2 linked regions of the Callithrix jacchus genome follow. The protein of the gene in region 1 interacts with the protein of each later gene in a pairwise test. Links are inferred from orthologs where the notes say so. Each region holds a gene or a part of one and is shown on either strand. Other genes may lie near its edges.

Region 1 (3,648 bases):
GTCCTCATGTAATGCAGTAGGTAAATGCAAAGAAATATTGTGACTTCTCTTTATTTTTAAACTACATTTCAACTTGCACAATACACACTGTTACAAAACTTCTGGGACCTTTTTGGGAACTGGAAAATATGTTAATACTATTCTGAAAGTATGATAAAGTTTTACAGGCATCAGAATTACACCCTAAGAAATTCTTATTCAGTAATGCTACATTTTGTGCAAATACACAGTTGAGCCTGCGTATTTAAAAAGTTATGTTGTTCTTAAGGAAATTTAATCTGTAATTTCTTTAGTCACATGAAAATATTCAGATTACAGAGAATTAGAAGGCAAAAATTACTTTATGGGACAGAATCACAGGAAAAAAAAGTTTAAATTTTAAATGTACAATTTAGATTGGAAATTTATATGATAAATTGCTATTTAAGATATATTATAAATCAAAAACTATTTTGATATTTAGGTTCATCAGTTCAGTAACAAGTCAACAGAGATGGCTTTAAGAGTGGCATCTCTTGATTACCTTGGAACTGTTGCTGCCCGGCTGAGGAAAGATGCTGTTACAAGCAAAATGGATCAAGGATCTATAGAACGCATTTTAAAACAGGTACTAAGATAAAGGATTAAAATTATGGGAGTAAATAATAGTTATATTCTTTGGATGTCCTCACATTAGTTTCACATTTCATTTTGTAGATTCATAATAAAATTTTTACTTCCAAAAGTGGGCTTTTCAAAGCTCCAGTGAGAAATTTTAAGACCGGAGAATGAATTATTTAGTCTAACAGGGACTGGTTCATATAAATCTTCAGTTAGTTTCTTTTTGTGAAGTACTGTTAAATGTATAATGCAGGCCAGGTACAGTAGCTCATGCCTATAATTCTAGCACTTTGAGAGGCCAAGATGGGTGGATCACGAGGTCAAGATATCAAAACCATCCTGACCAACATGGTAAAACTCCGTCTCTACCAAACATACAAAAATTAACTGGGCATGGTGGTGAGTGCCTGTAGCCACAGCTACATGGTGGTGCGTGCTTGTACTCAAGCTAAGGCAAGAGAATTGCTTGAACCCGGGAGGTGGAGGTTGCAGTGAGCCAAGATCGCAACACTGCACTCCAGCCTGGTGACAGAGCAAGACTCTGTCTCAGAACAAAAAAAAAAATGTATAATGCTTTTTATGTTTGGGTTTACATAAAGTTTATTCAAATTTTTTTGTTGTTGATGCTTTTAAAGACAGAGTCTCACTCTGTCACTAGGCTGGAGTGCAGTGACAGGATTTTGGCTCTCTGCAACTCCACCTCCTGGGTTCAACTGATTCTTCTGCCTCAGCCTCCTGATTAGCTGGGTCTACAGGCATGTGCCACCACGCCCAGCTAATTTTTGTGTTTTTAGTAGAGTTGGGTTTTCACGATGTTGGCCAGGATGGTCTCGATCTCCTGACCTCATAATCTGCCCCGCTCAGCCTCCCAAAATGCTGAGATCACAGGTGTGAGCCAATGCACCCAGCCAAGGAGAGCTTCTTTATACTTTATTAGAGAGTTTTCATCGTGGAGGAAAAAGTGTTTTATTGCTTCTTCTTTTTTTTTTTAATGTGGACGAAGTGGTTAGTAATAAATTCCTTGAGAAAATTGGTGCGGAAATGATTTCTAATCCTACTATCTACAACTACTGTTTTCATTTTTTTTCTAGTCTTTTTTTATGTTCATAATCATATCCATGTTGGTAGAAATGCCTCTAATTTTTTTTTACTACGTGTTTTGAAATAATTTCAACCTTAGAGAAAAGTTGTAAGAACAGTACAAAGAACTCCCATAAATGCTTCTTGCAAATTTCTTAATTATTGATAATTTGTAAAATTTGCTTTATCATCTTTCAAAATGTAGATGTATGTGTGTCTGTATATGCATTTTTTTTTATTTTTTTCAAACCACTTGAAGTTAAGTTGCAGACGTGATTCCCTCATTACTCCTGAATTCTCTAATGTAGTGATTTTCAAAGTGTGATCCCCTTGACATGTAGCACCAACACTGAAATCATTTTGGAACTAACAAGTACATTTCTAACAAAAATACAAATTGTTACGACCCTCCCTGGACCTACTGAATCAAAAATTCTTCGTTTAAGAAGCCCTCGAGGTGATTCTAATGAATGAATGCTGAACTTGGAGAGCCACTGCTTAGTGTTTATTTCTGCAAACAAGAGCTCTCACTGAAATATCTATAGTACAATTATCAAAAGCAAAAAATTATCAGTATTATGTTAACGTAATATAATACCTACTCTAATAAATTATAATTTGTTGCTGTCATTATTTTAATGCTCAAATCATCCTAGATTTGATCAGTGAGAACCCTCTGAAGCTGGCTTTTAAGTCCCTTTGCTATGTTCCCATCATAATTTGAGTTTCTTTCTAGCACAAAAAGATGTTTCAGACAGATCTTTTACCTTCCCTACCCCAGCCCTGGGATCAGCTGTTTCTCCTAGGAATCTTGGTTCCTTTTATTGGTGAATTGTAATGTAGAAACCAAGATCCAGTTGCTGAATGACTTTTTGTATTTCTTAGAATGGGTCTGGAACCTCTTATTGCCATGTATGGCTATGTTGATTATCCACAAGGGGAAGAATCATTTGTCAATTTTTATGGCTCTCAACACGTATTTCCAAAAGCAAGTGCTTCCTACCTCTGAGGAATAACACATTGTTCTGATCATTTTTATGTCAGCTACCTATGAGCTCTTTAAAAAAAAAAAAAGACATGAAGGCAGGCCGGGCACAGTGGCTTACGCCTATAATCTCAGCACTTTGTGAGGCCAAGGAGGGTGGATCATTTGAGGTCAGGGGTTTGAGACCAGCCTGACCAACATGGTGAAACCCTGTCTCTACTAAAAATACAAAAATTAGCCGAGCGTGGTGGAGCACGCCTGGGGTCCCAGCTGCTAGGGAGGCTGAGGCAGCAGAATTGCTTTAACCCAGGAGGCAGAGGTTGCAGTGAGCCAAGATAGTGCAGACTTCACCTATCACTATATAATATTTTTCAGAAATATTTCTCTGTTTTTTCCTTTTAGTTACTGTGGTTGTGTTTTTATTTTTAGAATCAGTCTTTTCTCAGATTTGTGTTTAAAATTAGATGATTTATTAAAGTATACCAGTAATATCTTTTTTGTTCTTACTTGGTTTATTCTGTAGGTTTCAGGAGGGGAAGATGAAATCCAACAATTACAAAAAGCATTGCTTGATTACTTGGATGAAAATACTGAGACTGACCCTTCACTAGTGGTAGGATTCTTTTCCCCTTTTTTGGAGATATTACATGTTTATTTAAATTGGGTTTAAGAAAATTGGGAGGTAGCATGATGAAGAGGAAAAGTTGTTTGGAATATTGATTTTTGAAACAAAGGGATACTTGATAATCTAAAGAGAAAAAAATGCTTTGGGTTGATTTGTCTTATATAGAATTCTGGTTACAGATACTGCGCTGTACTAAAATTGTATGATAAGAGCAATATTTGGAAGTCTTTCCATAAGGGATCTTTGAGACTAGGCTAGGTCCTCAGAGTGAGTATGGGCCAAGTGGTACGTGAGATGATCTGTAATAAGCCTGTAAAAAGAAATTATTAGATTTTTATATGTATATTTTAATATAATT
Region 2 (3,648 bases), on another chromosome or scaffold:
TTGAGAGGCCAAGGTAGGAGAATCACTTGAGCCCAGGAGTTCAAGACCAGCCTGGGCAACATAGTGAAATGCCATCTCTACAAAAAATATAAAAATTATGAGGTGCAGATTTGAGCCTGACATTCAAGCCTGCCCACTGGCCCCCACCCTCTGTGTCCATCACTGCCAAGTTTTTTTCTAGAGATAGGGTCTCACCATGTTGCCCAGGCTGGTCTCAAACTCCTGACCTCAAGTGATCCACCCATCTTGGCCTGCCAAAGTGCTGAGATTACAGGCATGAGTCATTGCACCCGGCCACCTTCTGGACTTTAGACATGAGTGCATCTAAGCCATTCAAGAAAAATAAATACAGGCTAGGTGTAGTAAATCACTTGAGGTCAGGAGTTCTAGACCAGCCTGGCCAACATGGTGAAACCCCATCTGTACTAAAAATAAAAAAACTAGCCAGATGTGGTGGCACATCCCTGTAGTCCCAGCTATTCAGGAGGCTGAGGCCGGAGAATCACTTGAACCCGGAAGGCAGAGGTTGCAGTGAACCAAGATTACACCACTGCCTGGGTGACAGAGCGAAACTCTGTCTAAAAAAAAAAAAAGAAATATAGATATAATAGGATAAAATAGAGCAGTCTTGTAAATATAACAAACTTCATCTGGGACTGTTCACTGTTGTCCACTGAACTGTCCCCCGAGGTGGCACATTAGGTCCTGTGAGCCTTGGGGCAGTCACAGTCATCCCAGGAGGCCCCTGGGTCTTCCGGGACCTGACCCCCGCCTCTGTTTTGCAGGGCGCTGTTCCTCCTCAGCAAGGGGATGGTAAGTTGAGGTTGGGCATGGCTGGATGCGGCTGGTGTTGTGGAGGTGAGGCAGGGCCCCCACAGAGTCTGCTCCGACCCCACTTGCTCTCCATGGCATCGCCCCTCAGGCACAGTGAGCAGCCTAGAGGGTGAGGCCCGGGCCTTGCAGGGTTCAGGAGGGAAGCTCAGGCTCCGCCCAGTGGGATTCATGCTGAGGCAGAATCCTAGTTAGGAGCTGTCTGGGCCGGGGTTTCAGGCTGGCCTTGCCCTCTGGGTTGGTGGCAGCAGTCCCAGGGCAGGTGGGCAGCCCCGTGCTCCTGGTCCAGGGAGGGCCCCTGCAAGCCACGCACCCCATGCCAGCACCTCTCCCTCCCCAGCTGCTGCTGATGGAGCGCAAACTGCAGGAGGTGCACCCACTGCTGACCCTCTGTGGGCAGATCGTGGAGAACTGGCAGGGGAACCCCATCCAGAAAGAGTCGCTGCGTGTCTTCTTCCTGGTGCTCCAGGTCACCCACTATCTGGATGCCGGGCAGGTGCGTGGCGCCTCTCGGGCGAGCTGCTGGTTGTGACCAGTGGGTATGGGTGGCACCCAGGCCAATGGGTCTTGGGCTGTGAGGTCAGCTGTGTTTGTCACACAGCAGGGCTGTCATTCCAGCCCCAGACACACACACTCTTGGCCTGCTCTGGTGCGAGTGCTGGCACCATTGTGCCTGCCTGGTGTGTTAGTGTGGTGCCTGCAAGCAAGGTCTATCCCGGCCACCCCACCCTTTGGGAGTATGATGTGTGACATTGCATATACTCACTCAGCATGTGGACGCTCAGAGATTCCAACTGCAGTTCAGGGAATCATGAGAATAAAGCATGGATGCACTGGGGTGGTGCCTGTACACAGCAGATGCTCAAGTGATATCTGTCTGGTCCCCCTGCTGTGGGGTTGAGCAGGGACTAATGTGCCCAGCCATGTCGAGACTGGACTCTGTGACCCTACTGTGGGTGGGGAACGGCTGTGTTTGAGCTCCTTGTCTCTGCTTGTATGACAGCCTTGACCCTTCAGGGGCTGGGAGCTGCTCTGTGCCCCTCAGACCTACCCCTCTTGCCATGGGCTGCAGGCAAGCCTCTCCACAGGGCTTGGTAAGGGGGTTCCCCAGTTCCCCCATCCATACCCATCATTGCCCATTGGGTGAAGCACTGCACTTGGCACATAGGGACACAGAGCAGACTGTAGCCACACTTCTCTTGGGGTGCCAAGGCTGCAGAGACGTCCCTCGGGGCTTCAGGACGAGATGGGTCAGTCTGTAAGAGCCACAGCGCCTGCGAGACTCCCACCCCCTGCAAAGCACTTGGGTCTGGCTGCAGGAAGGGCAAGAGCAGCTCCAGCAGGGTCTGGACAGGCCTCTCCTGGGCCTTGGTGTTGGGCCCAGCACTGGGCAGTGGACAAACTTCAGTCCCATAGCTGCCTGCCTGGCCCTGCCCCTGCCCTGACAGCCCAGCTGATCCATGGGAGTGCAGCGGGGGTGGGTCCATCTTGCAGGAGGTGGCCATGGCAGAAGGGGAAGGCAGGTGCTCCCTGGAGGAAGGGGCAGGGGTGGCTGGGCTGGGCCTGGCCTCCTGAGAGGCCAGGCTCAGGTGGGCACTCAGGTGTGGGTGCTGCGCAGGTAAAGAGCGTGAAGCCGTGTCTGAAGCAGCTGCAGCAGTGTATCCAGACCATCTCCACACTGCACGACGATGAGATCCTGCCCAGCAACCCCGCCGACCTCTTCCACTGGCTGCCCAAGGAGCACATGTGTGTGCTCGTCTACCTGGTGCGTCCTGCTAGGGCCAGGGCTGGGGGCGGGGGCAGGGAGAGGGAGAGGGCCCTGGTAACCCCTGCTGTCTGGTCTTGTCGCCAGGTGACTGTGATGCACTCCATGCAGGCAGGCTACCTGGAGAAGGCACAGAAGTACACGGACAAGGCTCTCATGCAGCTGGAGAAGCTCAAGAGTAAGTCAGGTGCTCGGTTGGCCACGTGGCCACAGTGCCCCCTGGCGGACGGCCTGGCCAGATGCCGGCTGTGCCAAGGCCCAGTGACCCTGTGTGACTGCGCTGCCTTGCCTGGTGGGTCTCGTCACCCCAGTTGATAAATGCTGGTGACCAACATCAGAGCAGAGCAGACTGGCCTGGGGTGGGAGGTACCCCCCTGAGTGGTCAGGGCCCTTGTACCCAGTTATGCTCAGTTGAAACAGGTGGTGGCTGCTTTTCCTGATTATTATCAATGTTGTGATGGGGACACTTGGGATGAGGCCAGGATTCGAATTCAGTCCTCACTGACCCCAGCATGTCCCTTGGAAGTCCTGAGTTCTTTCCAAATGCTCAACTGTCTAATCCGTTCAGGGATTTTGACTAGCACAAACCCAGAGCAGATGTCTCTGGCTGGTGCAGTGTGCCTGAAAGTCTGCCTGTTTGCACCCTCGAGAGTGCTGCTCAGGGAGAAGGCATCAGAGTCAAGCCAGCTTGGAGCCTGAGAGGCCTCTGCTGCTCTTTGTAATATTCCCATGTGAGGTTGGCTGCTTGGGGCTGCCAGGAGGTAGGGTCCGGCCCAGGTCCCCCCACCCCCTGCCTGAGGCTCTGTTGCATGTCTCATGATCCGGGGTGGTTTCCACATTTGTAGAACCTATTGTGTCCACAAGCTATTGAGCACATAGAGTGAGGGGTGAGGGTCAGAGCCAACCCCTCTTGGAACACTGTGGAAACCAACCTCTAGCTCCCGCTCCATTTTCTCACCTGGACACCAAGACATACTTTCTCACTCAGAGTGGGTAGTGGGGACTGGGGAGATGATGGGGTGGGTGCCTGGCCAGTATGACAGGAGACAGGA

What was found. The genes of interacting proteins can lie anywhere in the genome.
Region 2: the proteins of NIPBL (region 1) and MAU2 interact in binary tests that used the Homo sapiens proteins (3 or more experiments, as listed by UniProt). The link is inferred for Callithrix jacchus from reciprocal best matches to the Homo sapiens genes NIPBL and MAU2.

What each region holds. Positions count from the first base shown.
Region 1 is NC_133503.1:168,571,137-168,574,784, reverse strand, and holds part of NIPBL (nipped-B-like protein), read left to right. Parts: intron 1-463; coding exon 464-607; intron 608-3,188; coding exon 3,189-3,278; intron 3,279-3,648. UniProt on the Homo sapiens protein: Plays an important role in the loading of the cohesin complex on to DNA. Forms a heterodimeric complex (also known as cohesin loading complex) with MAU2/SCC4 which mediates the loading of the cohesin complex onto chromatin.
Region 2 is NC_133523.1:18,018,937-18,022,584, forward strand, and holds part of MAU2 (MAU2 chromatid cohesion factor homolog), read left to right. Parts: intron 1-785; coding exon 786-813; intron 814-1,171; coding exon 1,172-1,327; intron 1,328-2,449; coding exon 2,450-2,596; intron 2,597-2,683; coding exon 2,684-2,774; intron 2,775-3,648. UniProt on the Homo sapiens protein: Plays an important role in the loading of the cohesin complex on to DNA. Forms a heterodimeric complex (also known as cohesin loading complex) with NIPBL/SCC2 which mediates the loading of the cohesin complex onto chromatin.